3 linked regions of the Daphnia pulex genome follow. The protein of the gene in region 1 interacts with the protein of each later gene in a pairwise test. Links are inferred from orthologs where the notes say so. Each region holds a gene or a part of one and is shown on either strand. Other genes may lie near its edges.

Region 1 (4,830 bases):
TAATATCTAAAACTTGTTGATAACAAGTTTTCAAAACCTATACGACGACGACGTCGACGCATTGGCTCTGTCCGGTGTTTGCATCTACTCACGAACGACAAATGATTTCATTGTCCCGATTATCATTTTTGACAGATCTAGACACGGGGTCAACGGTTGCGCTCCACACGACTGGAGAAATAGGTTGGATCGATTTATCACGAAGCGAATTTTCCTTTTCTTTTTTAGAGGCCTAGAAACGAGTTTTTTTTTTTTATTCCGTTCCCACGGATAACCATTTCACCCCTCTCCATTTGATCGTTTGATTCAATTCCCCCCTACTTTTTGTGATCCGTTTGAGTGGTTTACATGTGCAACAGTTGCTGCCAATCTGTCGCAACTACCCCACCACCACTTGTGGTGAAGGGGGTTTGGTCACGTGACCATCGATAGAGCATTGAGTTGATTGTTTGGGTTTTACGCTCGAGGAATACGAACAAGTCAATGCAGGAACAAGTTGGTTTAGTTCTAAGTTTGGGTATCTCGTTAACCCTTTTATCCCAACGGGAAAGACCTGATGATTTTCGTGTCTAACTGCACGGTAGATGATGAGAACCAATCAGCGCGGATCGAATGTAAAATGGGGAAAAAAAAAGGAAATTTCGGTTCGAGGCGTATATGACACAAATAAAAATATGAATGATGCAGAGCCATAGGCAGAAGAAGAAATGAATATAAATATGATGAAAGGCGCATCACGCAATGGGTAGAACGCAGAAGATGATTCCGGCGGCGCCAGTTGAATGATCAATCACGGTCTACATGATGCGGCCTTCGGATTCCTGGAGCTTGATGATGATTGCCGGTCATCTAGTTTCTACCTTCTTTTTCCGTTTTTCGTATGGTGCATCAGACTGTTTCTTTCTCAATTGCATTATTTTTTTGTGGGCTCGACAACGAGCTGCTTTCGTGATGTAGCCCACTTTTACGGCTGATTATACCATGCGCGGAATGGCAGAAAAACAATGGACGGACATGTCAACTGGATGAGGAGCTTAAAGGCGTCACGATCCCAGTCAAAAACAAATCGACAGGTCCTTTTTCCAATCGGCTTCACTAAAAGGGAAAGTTGCTGGAAAGATTTGGACGATGTCACTTTTTCCCCTGTATGATGGATGGGGGGATATTTCATCCCTACGGAAATCAGACAATATAAAAATATATTTCTAGGCCTAGTATTCCTCTTGGGTCTTTTATGATCGGCCCCAAAATTCTTTGAGAAGCTCCCTTCTTTCGGCTTTAATTACTTTCTTCGGGGAATTCTATTCTACATGTTTGTGAAATAGAAGAAACCAAGTCATGAACTTGTTAGACTCGCAATCAAAGTTTCATCTAGAATATACCACAAATACAAATAACTCTGTGGTTGAGAAAAATCGTTATTATAGGCGACACGTTTGGCCGAGTGACAGAATACTGGAAGAAGAATAGGCGCAATTTCAATTTTGTTCTTGTGTATTATAATTTTTCTTCTCTGTGTGCAGCAAGAAAACCCGCGGAGATTGCAAGGAGAAAGGAAGAGAACAAGTCGGACTCTGATTGGTTGTCGGTGGTTTTGCCTCGAGGCCAGTTATTCTGATAGAGCGACTCCCTCCGGCCAGTCGAGAAGCGTCCGTTGAACGGGAAGGATGTACTGTGTCGCTGCTGCTTGAATTTCTTCCATTTTTCTCTGTGTGCATCTGAGTTTAACAAAAAATCTCTTTACTGGAAAAGTGTGTAAAAACAAGAGAAAAAGTGCATCACCATGACCCAGTGGCTGAAAGTGTTGGTGTTTTGAGTGATTTAATTTTTCATCTATTCAACACAAAGAGGGAGAGAAGAAAGAAAGAAACGTTAAGTGTGTGTGAGTCCCTGTTTTTGTTGCTGCCATTAAAAATGGGGACCGACCGCAGTGGATTACTGATGCTGTTGCTGGGCATTCTCGTCTTCTTCTCAGCTTCAGTTCAAGGTAACCTTGACGTTTTTGTCTCGAATATTCGTGTGGCTTAAAATTACCTCATGACGATTGTTTCATTAAAGGTAGGGGGGAGTCTGAAAAAAGTAGTTGGGATGACGGTTAGAGTTTTGTTGCATCTGCTCTTCTTTTCAAAAAAAGACGCCGGGCCCCGTAGGGCTTTACATTTCCCACGCATTTAAATCCCCCCTCCAACCGACGCTCTCATTGTCCTTCTCTCTCCCCCCCCCCCCCCCCCTCTCCGACCTGTTGATCGACGTTGCCGAGATCTCAGCAAATCATTTTATTTATTTTTTAAAATTAAAAAAAGAATATGGTGATGACCAACATATCCGGCGAATAAAGACATCGTGAGATGATTAAGTTTCAAGACATTTTCATCAGCCAAGACATTTTGGTGGTGTCACATAGCGTTAGGCCACATGTTATTTGATAGTCATGAGTTAATGATGTTAGACAATAGCGTCGTATGTCCATTGAATCGTATCCTCTATCAGGGCGGAAGTGCATGATAGTGGACCCGTTTCCGTTGCTCTTTTTGTGTGTGTGTATTATCATTCACTCAAATCAATAATAATAATTAACTGTAATTTTTTTTCTTTTTTTTTTATTTATTCCAGGATTCGTTTCGTGTTCGCCCAATCCCTGCAAGAATGGAGCGTCGTGCGTCTCCAACCCGCGCGGCGAGTCTTACTGCAGGTAACGTCCATTGTTGAAAGTCTACAGGGGAGATCTATCCCCCCCCCCCTCTCTCTCTCTCTCCAATGGTAGAGTCTCTCTCGCTCAGAAGCGTGGGAAACAAGCTGGTCTGCATAGTTTGGGCTATTGAAACCACCTACCGTCAGCCACCCTACCACCACCACCTTGTCCACTTTTTTTTTTTGTTCCATCCGGTTTGGGCCCGAGCTGCTCACGTACTGCCTCCAGCTCTTTTTCTTTGTCTGGTAGTGGAGGTGGTAGTAGAAGGGGGGGAACGTTGATTTTTTATTTTTGGGGATTATGCTTTGATACACATGGTCCAGTTGCTCCAATCACTTGTGAAACAAATGATTAACTCTTTTTATTTTTATTTTTTACAGCTGTCCGCCGCAATACGTGGGCGAGTACTGCCAATTTGCCAACCCCTGCCATACGGGACCCGGACCTCGGTGCCAAAATGGCGGCACTTGCGCCGTCAAAATGTCGACTAATGCCGTGCCCAGCTTCTCCTGTTCGTGTCCGCTGGGTTACTCGGCCTCGCTGTGCGAGATTCCCGTGCCCAACGCCTGCGACACTGGGCCGTGCCAACACGGCGGAACGTGTCTACTCCGCACGCTGGATAACTACACCTGCGCCTGCTCGTCGGGATTCCGCGGCGCCAAATGCGAAGCTGTCGACCACTGCGCCCTGCATCCGTGCAAAAACGGTGCCCAGTGCACGTCTTTGTCGGACTCTCACCGCTGCACTTGCGCTCCTGGATTCGCTGGCCCGACGTGCGCTGTGGACATTGACGAGTGTAAACGCAACCCGTGCATCCACGGTCGCTGTGTCAACACCCACGGATCATACAAGTGAGTCCAGTCGTATTGACTCTTGTCGTCAACCATCTGTTGATCTTTCTTGGCATCCTTATCTCGACGTCATGATTGTCAAATGATTACCAAGCTGACTCAACAAAGTTGTTGACGCCGACCAAAGAAAGTCCGAGGGGAAATTTTTTCGTCACATCTTTATTATTATCTTCTATTCAACATTTTTTTAAAAATGTAGTTTCCTTCCAAAAATATTAAAAGAGGACAAAAAAGAAATTAAATTTTTCAAGGCTTTCATTGTCGAGTTAGCGTGGGAACGGCCGAGGCGAAAACAAGTCCATTAAATCGCCGTGGTCAGTAGACACCAGATTGAATTTATTTGTACTTTCTCGTCACGTGTCTGTGTGTGTCTCGTCTCATGTTTGTATCATGCCGGGCGCTAATCATCCGTTTGTATCCGTTTACTTTTTTTATTTTCCAGATGTAACTGCCACACGGGTTATACTGGCCAGAATTGCGAAAATCAGTATGTGCCATGCAGTCCGTCTCCATGCCAGAATGGTGGTGCGTGCAAAGCCATCGATTCTCTCAACTACGAATGCCGTTGTCCGCCTGGTAAGTCTCATAAAATTTGATTGAACCTTTTATTCCTCTTCTTTCCGGTAAATTTATGACAACTGAAACGAATTGTTGGTCCCAACAACCAAAAAGAAACAACAACAACATTGAATCTGGTTAGAGTAGCCATAAAGTCATTGTCGGCTGTTAAAATGAAGTTTAAATCTAAAGTCATCAGATTTCGGATGTGCTTGGTTTCCATCGGTGGGAACATTCCCACACACACAAGAAAGCCAAAACTTGTTATACCCTCGGGGCAAACCTCGTCCATCCAGAGAGACTTGAATATAAATATCCGAGCCCCTCTCTCTCTCTCTCTCAAATCTCTCCAGGCTCTTTTATGTTCCGACCCCTCCACCTTTCTCTAAAAAAAAGAACACCTGGGCGATGACCAACAAAGAATTCTTTCCTGTCTACTTACAGCGTTGCCATTTTCCCTTTAACACGAATCTAATATTTCCCCCCTTTCTTCTGATTATCAAAATTCTAGGCTTTGCTGGTACCAATTGCCAAGAAAATGTCAACGACTGCCCCGGTCATTTATGCCAGAATGGAGCCACTTGCGTCGATGGCGTCAATTCCTACACATGCCAGTGTCCACCATCCTTTACGGGGCCTTATTGTAATCAAGACGTCGATGAATGTGCTTTGAGGCCTAGCGTCTGCAAGAACGGCGCTACTTGTACCAACACCCACGGTGGATTCTCC
Region 2 (5,008 bases), on another chromosome or scaffold:
TGTGCATATTGGGTTTTACTGGTCATTAAAACAACAAACAATAATAATATTCATTTGCAAGTACAACTGTACCTGGAGGGATTCCACAATTCTTCACAAATTTCAAAACCTATGGTGGTATCCAAGGTTTCCAGGACTGCATCTCCAAAAACTACAGATTTTTGCCCTGTAAGCTCTCTTATAAACTCTGGCAATATGTAATCCTCTGTTTGGTAAAGCTGTTTACAAAATAATTCACATTTAATTAAGGCCACAGATCCCAAAAACTGGTGTAAAATAAATTTTATACTTTTGTCCAGGCAGTGAACCATCTTGATTCTCTGTAATTGCCATCATCACAGAGTTTCAATTTAGGACGAATCAGCAAGATTTTTCTGCGAAAAGGGGGGTACTGTTTATAAGAAGAGCATAATAACAATAAAACAATTGCTTACCCATTGAAAAAAGCAACTCTGCAATTGTAAGTGACACTCTTGTGCATAACCGGCATGCCAACATCAACTAAAATATTTTTGCATACTGGACTGGCTAATAGTTCAGCCAAAACCTATTTGAGGATCAAAGATCATTTTCTAGATTTCCCAGAAACAAACCGCAGTAAACATAAATCAGAAAAGTGACACGCTAACCTCCCAGCTGTGTAGAAGAGTGTCAGCTTCATAAAAATGATCTTCACAGCTGTATCCTGTGACTTCTAATTCGGGTCCTGTGCGATAACTAGCACCTTGTACTTTTGCTTCTTGGATGCTGGCGATGATGCGTGACAGATTTCCGTCGAAATCCAAAGCCCACTGGTTCAAGCAGCAAACGGCGACTACAACTTTGCGCCCCATGTTCTCCTCGTTGACTGATTTAATACTATTTCCTTTTTACCTTCTTGCCAAGCTGCGGAAATCGACCCAACAGGTTTTTTATTACTTTGCCAATACTAACGTTACCAGAGCAACTGTCAAATCGACAAATCAGCGGGACGGAAGGTTTGTTTTTCTTTTCGCCGAGGTAAACATACAGCATTGCCAGTTTTTGGTAGAAAGTAACTTTTTTTTCCCCTTCCTCCTTTTTTGTGTGTGTCGACGTCTCGACGACCGTTAGTCATTGTGACCTGCAGTGCGGCCTTGGTAGATTTATTATTAAGCATAGGCTTTTTACGAGCAGATTTTCATCAGTTAATGGCATAATAATTTCATCTCCTATTGCCTTACGTATTATTATTACGTGTTTGCATCAAGATGTTGTCTCGTAGCTAATTATTATGCGCGTTTAGCATTGAGAAAATAGCATTTAAGTTATAGAAATGTGACGTTAGTATATCGTTGGTCGCATTGGCCGCTAGATGACAGTTGAGAGGTCAAAAGAAAATAGAAAACAAAAAAAAAATGTGTCCCAATAAAATGAAAATCCAACACACGAAAAATCTAGAAAGAGAGAAGAAGACAAAAAAAAATTATTTTCAAGTAAGACGCGCGGCCGAAACTGTAAACGAAAGCGGAGGGAAGGGAGGAAATCAGGATGAAAGGAGAGAGGCGAAAGAGAGAGGAAAGAAAACGGGTGGCGTCTGCAGCCGTGGCCGCTGTGGCGCTGTCTGTCGGGGAAGAGCCCGAGTCTCTCCCTCTCTCTTTTTTCTTTCTTTTCTTTTTTCGCTTGGCTTTTCCGTTGGCTTTTCAAGTGAAATGTGGTCAAATCCGTCTCTCTCCTGTTAATACGGAAAGTCGTCATTATTGAGCTTTCTCTCTTAAAAATAAATGTATATTCATCAACTTGGACGTTTCTATCGAATTTCAGTCGAATATTTTCCAACGTTTGAATTACGTGGTGTAGCGCCACGTAAAATAAAATAGATATCCCCCCCACCCCAACTGAAAAAGCAGACACACATTTTGACGTGTGCTTGACTACGAGTATCAAGGTGCCGACGGCTAACAGCTCCGAACGGCTGGGGCTGGGGGGACTCTCCAAGCCAATGTGGCAATTGTGTTCAGTCGAAGTTGCTGCTGAACGAGAACGAGACGTATCTCTGAAACTTCTCCGAACAAAATCATTTTTTTTCCCCCTCTTCTTCGTCAATCACACACACAAACACACCAAATCCCCGACGAAATCGATCTCTCTCTCTCACTGGTGTCGTGTGTGTTTCTCCCTCAATTTCGACGAATAATTAGTCTTGGAAAAAATCGCCATTACTCCCCACCACAAAAAAACGTTCAAATGACTCAATCGATTGGCTTTCTTTTTTTCGAAAATTGAATTCTCGGTGTGTCTGTGCTGCCGAGTCTCTTTTTTATTTTTTGGCGCAAGCATAAACTTTGGTGGGGACATATATCCAACGAGTGTGTTACGTGTTGGACGTGTGGTGTGTGTGTGGTGTGTGTTGCAGTGTCTGTGTGTCGACTGGAATCTGGCCAAAAGCAAGCCGAGTCTCGTGTCTTGGATTATTGCACAATTTAAGACTTACCACTTACTCACTACTACCACATACCTCTAACCTCATCTCTGCGGATCTATTCAAACTCGGCACATGCAGGTATGCAATCATCATTTCTTGTGGGATGGGGGGGGGGAGAGAAAATTTCGCCAACAAAAATGGCGTGTGTGGAATGACACATGTGCTTTCTTAAAATATTGTTGTAACCTGTTGAGTGAGTATAAGTTGAGTAACCATCCGGTCATAGAGACAATTGATTGCATGTAATAATCATCATGCCGGTTGTTTTCTTGGGGGATTTTTGTATTTTTTGACCGAATTGGTTTTTGGGGGGACCTTCCGCCCGCGTCACTATCAAACCGCACACACACAACACCAGCGTGAGATTGCAATCAATATTTCACTCTCTTATGTCTGTGTGTGTGTGTGTGTATAGGAGGATGCATCGAAAGGGGGGGTCAAAACGTGTTGGTCATATATATTCCCAGCGTCTGTGTGTTTTGATTTCCAGTCAACGTCCATTTTTAGGTTTTGTTCATTGAGGAGCCCCATACACACACACACTGAGAAATTTGAATGGTTGAGGGTTTTTTATTTCACAGTGAGGGGAACAAGCCCCAGCATATATTTCGAACCTGGGGTTGTTTCCGAAGGGTGTGTGTGGTTGTGTGTGGGGAGAGAGAAAATATTTTGTCTCTCCCCTTCCTCTTTTCTTTTATGTTCATCTTTCAGTTTTTCCCAGTTAGTGACGCGTCAAGTGGTTGTTAACCCGCTCGCTAGGTGGTGTTGTTTGACAAGCGCGCGAGAAACTCCCTTTCGAAATGTGTGTGTGTGTGGAGGAAGGGGGGACTCGACTGGGAGGGGTAGGGAAAGCAGTAGACACAAGGCCATCATTTGGAAACCCATCGTCTCATTACACAAGTGGTGGCCCTTTTTTTTCAAAAAAAAATATAAAAGTATTGTGTTCAAAGAGTTTTTTCTTTCTTCGGGTTGCAATTCAATTTCGATATCAGAGAGAGAGAGAGAGTTTCCAGGGAAAAACAAAAGTTCTGGTACATACTACTGGGAAATCTATAAATTCCAAGTGTTTGAAAGAGTCCAAGGTTATTGTGTGTTTTATAGTTTTTATATCACGACCTTGTGGATGTTTGTCTGTCTGTTCTTAACGTCAATTTTTAGTATTCCTTGTTTGTTTGACGAATGATTTAATAACGTGATATTTTGCAATTGCAGGTTGATTCAGCATGAAAACAGGCCATGTTGTGGAAAGATTAAAGCATTCGAGTAGCAGCAGCAGCAGCAGCAGACTGGAGCCTCAACGGATGTGGAGCTAAGAGCGGGGCAGCCAATAAGATTATTGGTTGCGTGCGGAGTAATGTCGGAGGTGCTGCCTCCGAAACGTCAGGCGGCCGTGGATCGACTGCGGAGGCGAGTCGAAGTCTACACCAAGGATCATCAGGATCGATTTATGCACTATGATCGAATCGGACCGGCCTTGTGCGAACAGCAAATGCAAGAGTCGTTCGCATTGAAGCAAAAGTATCTCGACCCCAAAGCCAAAAAGACGAGTAGCAACAGCAAGAGCAATAAAAGCAGCAGCAGCAGTAGCGGCGGAATTAATAACAACTCAACTACTAATACCGGTGGTGGTCCGTCCAGCACCGAACGTACAAAACCGGCTACGGAGACTCACGCCGGCAACACGCAGTCGGTAAGAAACAAACCATCGAAATCTTTTTTACTCTCTTTTTTTTATTACTATCCCTATCATCGATCCCTTGACTCCTTGTGCGACGCTCCTGTAAGGAGTTGCTCTTTGTCTCTCTGTGTGTGTGTGGTGCCCACCAGCTGAATCATTGATTCCCGCTACCCCTTCCGCACCCCTACTACTACACTACTCCCGCTCCTCTTGGGTAGGAGAAATAGAAAATGTCTTACGTACAAAAATGTGATGGACTTTTGCGTGAGAAAATAGCGCCAAGATTATTATAACTGCACTGGAAAGAAAAAGAAAAAACCCGTTAAACAGATGCGATCAAAAGAGGTCGTTCACCACCATCACCGGTAGCGAAACCAGCGCAAACGAACCCATTTCTTTTCTTTCTGTGGGGGGGAGGAGGATGTGTCCCGCAATTTAACCGGTGCGCGCTGTGTGTATATTTCAACACAAGAAACCCCGAAATAGAAGAATTATAATGCTCATTGTATTTTTGGTAGGAAATATTTTTGAGAAAAATATAGAAATCATGTGATGATCGGGTCAAGCGCTTTCGTGTGTTTGTGTGTGTCGGTGACCTCATTGTCCTGTATTTTGCCATCGAGGATGTTAGGTGTGTAGAGGAATGGCCGTACAGTAGAGGAGGAACCTACACACAAGGTTCTTTGACCGTGTAGAGAGAGAGGGGGGAAGAAAGGTATTGAACCTCGGGGCAGAATGAGAGGAAGAAGAAGAAAGAAGAAGAAGAGAACTGTCGCGCTCTCTCTCTCAACTTCTTGTTCGTCGTGTCGGACCAATCAGCGGCGTTGATGCGAGCCATCACTGATAGAGTGTGTACTACTACACCAGCGCACTCGGGGTAGGGGCTC
Region 3 (5,042 bases), on another chromosome or scaffold:
AAAAAATGCTGCCAATGCTGGTGAGTGGTGGCAGACGAACTTCAGTGAGAACTGGCTACTAGTGATGTTTCGTTAACGATAACGGATAACGTGAAAAGTCCGTTAACGGACCTTTTTTGGGGTTCGTTAACTTAACGGATAACGCTAACGTTTGGCATTTTTCAGACGTTATTTTCAGACGTTATTTTTGTTTTTAACAGCGCTGCCAAATATGAAATTTTTGGATTTTTCAAAATGAAATTTGTATTTTTTGCGCGCTTCCAACATTTTACTGTAGTAGGTTGACTATGAAAACGAATTTAAATAGCCAATGACAGTGAGCAGTAGTCTTCTTAGCTTCTCTGAGGTTTTTTTTTGCTTTCAAAACGTGGCAAACGAAACTGTATAAGTAGAGTAGGGAAACAACTAGAATCAGAGTGTAAATCTTTAATGTCAGATTCAGACTCTGATGCTCCTGTTGACGGTGAATAAGCGTGGCATCTGCGATGTTAGAAGATCTCGAAAGAAGATTTAATTTCATGACAGATTAAAGAGATCCTGATTTCGACTGCTCCTACCTTCTAGCCACTTCCCTCGACTGCATTGAAACTGAACTTTTAGACAACTTCCACTTTGCAAGTCATGAATTTGATCCTTCTAAGGATCCACCAGTTCAAGATGTGATCTCTTACTGGAAGGATTTGTCTGGTCGTTTCCCCTAATTATCCAAAATGGCCTATAATTTACTGGTTATACCAGTTTCTTCGGCATCATCTGAACGCGAATTTTCCATTGCCGGATGGCACTGTCTAGGACACAAAAATAGGACGGCGGAAGAAGTTTTGGCCGCAAAAGTCTTCCTCACTTGCAATAAGGATTTATTGAGGCCTTTACTTTTTTAGTTGGAACTTGTTTTTTTTTCTTTTGTCTGTGCGTTTATTTAATCCGCAGTTTCTGTTTTTTTTAGTTGATCATTGCTTCATTGTGACATTGTTCAACGCCAGCAGCAATTTAAATATAAGTAATCAAGACCGTGACTGATTTCAGTGATTTGATAGTGCAATTTTTTTATTAAATAACGGTAAAAATAACGTCGAATTTTCGTTAACGGAGACATTTTTAACGGCGTTAATTAACGGCGTTAACGAACGTGAAAAAATGAGACATCGTTAACTTAACGGATAACGCTAACGTTTAGAAAAAGCACTAACGAAACATCACTACTGGCTACTAGCTTGCTGCCCTTTTGCCATGATACCACAACCTAAAAGCAATCGAAAATTTAAGGAATCTTTACAGCTTACATGATAACCAAAGCTAGAATACATATTAATTATTATTTTATGAATAAATATTAATATATATTATATTATATTACTATGGATACGATAGTAAGATCACCAATTCACCATGATTAATGATTATTGTATTATTAATATATCACGGCCGTTAGCGAGTTATTCAACGTTATATGCTATTTTATTTTTTTAAATGAAACAAAAATCACGAACAACAGCCCTTTTTGAAGATCCCCCCTTTTTGCCAGATTTGAATTTGAAGCAAGTAGTGTGCAGTGTGAGCAGTAGATGGCTACGCTGTGGATAGCGGGTCGGAAAAACCATCTGTCGGCTGACGTTAATATTTTTTGGGAAAACCGGGACGCCCAATTGGAGGCTCACAAGACTTTAAGCCTCGCCATATTGAACAGCCTGAGGGAAAGGGGAAAAGTCTGTATTCACTATTCAGTCCTCTTCATGTTGCGCAGATAGTAACTTTTGACGCCCTACCCGTTTTTGTAATCTTGTCAAAACGATTGGTTTGTTGTCGTTGACTCTTGACGCAGTTTCCTAATGGCGGAAACAAAGATTATTTACCACATTGACGAAGAAGAAACTCCCTATCTTGTTAAACTTACAATATCTCCCGATCAAGTTACCCTAGCCGATTTCAAGAATGTTCTCAATCGTCCAAATTACAAATTTTTCTTCAAATCAATGGACGACGATTTCGGGTAAAACCAGTTTTTCTCGTTTTTTTTTTGTTGTTGTCAAGTGGCAATAACGTGTTACATGATAATTGTCCATGTAGTTATTTTTTTATGCAAGTGTAAGCATTGTTTTCTCTTTATTGTTTATGTTTCTAGTGTTGTCAAGGAAGAAATTGTTGATGACGATGCTCACCTTCCATGTTTCAATGGAAGAGTCATATCATGGGTAAACGTAACAAGTTAAATTATATTGATGAATATTTTAAGATGTCTTAATGTTTCTTTCACTTTGTAGCTAGTATCAGCTGAAAGTAGCATTTCAGACTCTGTATCTCAATGTGCTGAGAGTACTGCCACTACTGATGGGAGACCACCGTCTTTCCAGTGAGTTTTTTCTTTACAAATTTTCACTGCTTGTAAAGTTTGGTAATTAACTCGTCATTTGATTTTAGCCCTGGCCATAACAGAAGTATGGCTGAGGAATACACAACAGCTACTGAGACAGAATCGGTCATTAGTTCAAGACACAGTGGTAAACTTTATTTCCTTATGCTGTATTTTTATGTTTATGTGTTTACCTTTGTCCTGTTGCATCTCATTTTTCGTTATCTTCTGCAATTCTTTTGTTCTTTATGTTTTGCCATGAAGAGAGGCACATATTGCCCCGCTCTGGCCGTGTGCATCGTGAAACTTATGAAAAATATGATCGCTTTGATGGTGAGTTTGTTAGCATGGCTTTTTTTGTAGATTGTTGCTTCACTAAATTTTCATGTAGAATGTCTTATCTTACTATATATTCGATTAACATCCGATTGTCTCTTTAGTTCAAGCTCCTCGAAATGGCCACAACGCTATGAGACACAGAGCTGGACACGAATATGAATCCTCTTCTATGATCAGCTCGGATTTAGAGTCGACCAGCTTCGTTGACTCTGAAGAAGATGCATCTTCACGTATCACAACGACCACGGGTATTAAGCAAAGTTATAATAACTCTGGATTTATTGAAAATTTTGCATATTTTGAAATTTGCAGATCACACTAGTGTGTCTCGCCAAGGTCGCAATCGGAGACGTAATCGTCGCCGTCCCCGCCTCCCTCCTCTTTCATCTCGAGCTTCATCATTCTCCAGTATCACGGATTCCACTATGTCACTCAACATAATCACTGTCACCCTCAACATGGACACAGTCAACTTTTTAGGAATTTCCATCGTCGGCCAGAGTCATCAAGGTGGTGATGGTGGAATTTACGTAGGATCCATAATGAAAGGGTATAAACACAGATGAACCTGACATATTTCTTGTGGTAATTTCAAATGAAAATCATTGCTATTATTTAGTGGGGCTGTCGCTTTGGATGGTCGAATCGAGCCTGGTGACATGATCCTTCAAGTCAATGATATTAACTTTGAAAATATGTCAAATGACGATGCCGTTCGCGTTTTACGAGAAGTTGTCCAGAAACCTGGGTAAGCATAACTGTTTTTTTTGTTTTCCAACTTAACATTTAGTACATTGTGTTTTTTATTTGCATGTGTCAGCCCAATCAAACTTGTAGTCGCCAAGTGTTGGGATCCTAATCCAAAAGGATATTTCACTATACCCCGTACGGAACCTGTTCGCCCTATTGATCCCGGTGCGTGGGTTGCTCACACGGAAGCAGCAAGAGGTGATTGTCGTATTTTAAATCATAAATTGGCATCCAACAACAAATCTAACGTCATATTAGGTGGAACGCAGTACCCGAATCGTCCGCCATCTGTGGCGACGATGTCGTCAACCACCACAACAATGATGTCGAGTATGCCAGAAACCGAACGTAAGTTGTCACGTAGAAAATGTACCGAAAGAACTTTTGACTAAGTACTACTTGTCACAGGTCCAGTTGAAGAAGCCCAACCGCTTTCAGTGCGCTCAGACATGCTCGCAATTGTGCGAGCGATGGCGCGCCCAGATTCCGGACTTGAAGTTAGAGATCGCCTTTGGTTAAAAATTGTAATTCCAAGTGCGTTTATTGGATCAGAAGTGGTCGACTGGCTTCACAATCGCGTGCAAGGACTAGAAGAGCGGCGTGATGCCCGCAAGTTGGCTTCCCAGCTTCTGCGAAACGGTTACATCAGACATACAGTAAACAAGTACACATTCTCTGAACAATGTTACTACGTGTTCGGAGACCTGTGTTTGGGTGAGTTGACATTTGAGACTTATCGGGTTATAGAATATTTTGTTTGATGAAAGGGTTTTATCTTGTAGGTGTTTCGGCTCTTCGCCTGACTGATGACACGACATCGGAAGCCGATAGAGACACGCTCGCACCGTTGCCGTTGCCGACTCCTTGGGGTAGTGGGCCTGGTGCTACAGGAGCCGGTGGGGCTACCCCTCACATACCTTATTATCCAACCGGTTATGCGCCCATGCCTTACAGCTACAGCAGTGATCCCCTCGGATCGGCGCCTGTACAAAGTACTACATTTACGTATGGAAGAGAAGGCAGCGTTCACAGTGGTTCAGGTAACCCTCCAAATTCGATTAATTGAATCCTTACAAACTGTATTGTGAAAGTCGAACTTCAAATATGTTGACGTTGTAATAACAAACAGGGAGCAGTGGATCCGACGTACGCAGTGGACTGATGGGTGGAGACAGAAGTCAACCACCTTCTCTGCTAGGCGCAGTAAATCCCGTCGGACCAGGAATCCATGGGTCATCCAGCAGCAGCGGTTCTAGTACGGGTAATACAGTCTCTTTAAGACAGCAAAGACGATGATACCTACAAATGGCATGTGTGTATTTGAATGCAATCAAGAGTTTTGTATTTAAAGGAATAATAAAGAGCAGCTTCGTTTTATTTTATTTTATTTTTTTGTTCTCTCTTTTTTTGCTCTTTTTTTTACGATTTGCGCCTAGGAAGCAGCGACGGGGATTCTCAGATAGCAGTGAACGTTCGGTCGAACGGTGGGCAAGGCGGGGCCGACCGGCCTTTGAATCAAGTTCCGGATGACATGTCTGGATCGAGACAGTCTTTTCGAATGGCCATGACAAATCCATGCCAGATGAACGAGTACTTTGTCGAC

Evidence for each region. The genes of interacting proteins can lie anywhere in the genome.
Region 2: the proteins of neurogenic locus Notch protein-like (region 1) and neurogenic protein mastermind-like interact in a two-hybrid assay, tested with the Drosophila melanogaster proteins (5 studies listed by BioGRID). The link is inferred for Daphnia pulex from reciprocal best matches to the Drosophila melanogaster genes N and mam.
Region 3: the proteins of neurogenic locus Notch protein-like (region 1) and segment polarity protein dishevelled homolog DVL-3-like interact in a two-hybrid assay, tested with the Drosophila melanogaster proteins (3 studies listed by BioGRID). The link is inferred for Daphnia pulex from reciprocal best matches to the Drosophila melanogaster genes N and dsh.

Annotation. Positions count from the first base shown.
Region 1 is NC_060028.1:5,081,925-5,086,754, reverse strand, and holds the start of neurogenic locus Notch protein-like, read left to right. Parts: upstream 1-1,638; 5' UTR 1,639-1,914; coding exon 1,915-1,987; intron 1,988-2,613; coding exon 2,614-2,692; intron 2,693-3,072; coding exon 3,073-3,543; intron 3,544-3,985; coding exon 3,986-4,119; intron 4,120-4,612; coding exon 4,613-4,830. UniProt on the Drosophila melanogaster protein: Essential signaling protein which has a major role in many developmental processes. Functions as a receptor for membrane-bound ligands Delta and Serrate to regulate cell-fate determination.
Region 2 is NC_060024.1:12,904,992-12,909,999, forward strand, and holds the start of neurogenic protein mastermind-like, read left to right. Parts: upstream 1-1,577; 5' UTR 1,578-2,521; intron 2,522-3,655; 5' UTR 3,656-3,797; coding exon 3,798-4,133; intron 4,134-5,008. Other genes in the region: glutamine-dependent NAD(+) synthetase-like, read right to left, coding at 73-218, 290-374, 435-547, 630-833.
Region 3 is NC_060018.1:12,877,843-12,882,884, reverse strand, and holds the start of segment polarity protein dishevelled homolog DVL-3-like, read left to right. Parts: upstream 1-1,611; 5' UTR 1,612-1,829; coding exon 1,830-1,990; intron 1,991-2,122; coding exon 2,123-2,192; intron 2,193-2,261; coding exon 2,262-2,350; intron 2,351-2,418; coding exon 2,419-2,498; intron 2,499-2,614; coding exon 2,615-2,683; intron 2,684-2,790; coding exon 2,791-2,937; intron 2,938-3,001; coding exon 3,002-3,239; intron 3,240-3,308; coding exon 3,309-3,437; intron 3,438-3,509; coding exon 3,510-3,637; coding exon of another isoform or gene 3,638-3,697; coding exon 3,698-3,787; intron 3,788-3,847; coding exon 3,848-4,153; intron 4,154-4,221; coding exon 4,222-4,479; intron 4,480-4,568; coding exon 4,569-4,700; coding exon of another isoform or gene 4,701-4,735; exon of another isoform or gene 4,736-4,751; intron 4,752-4,875; coding exon 4,876-5,042.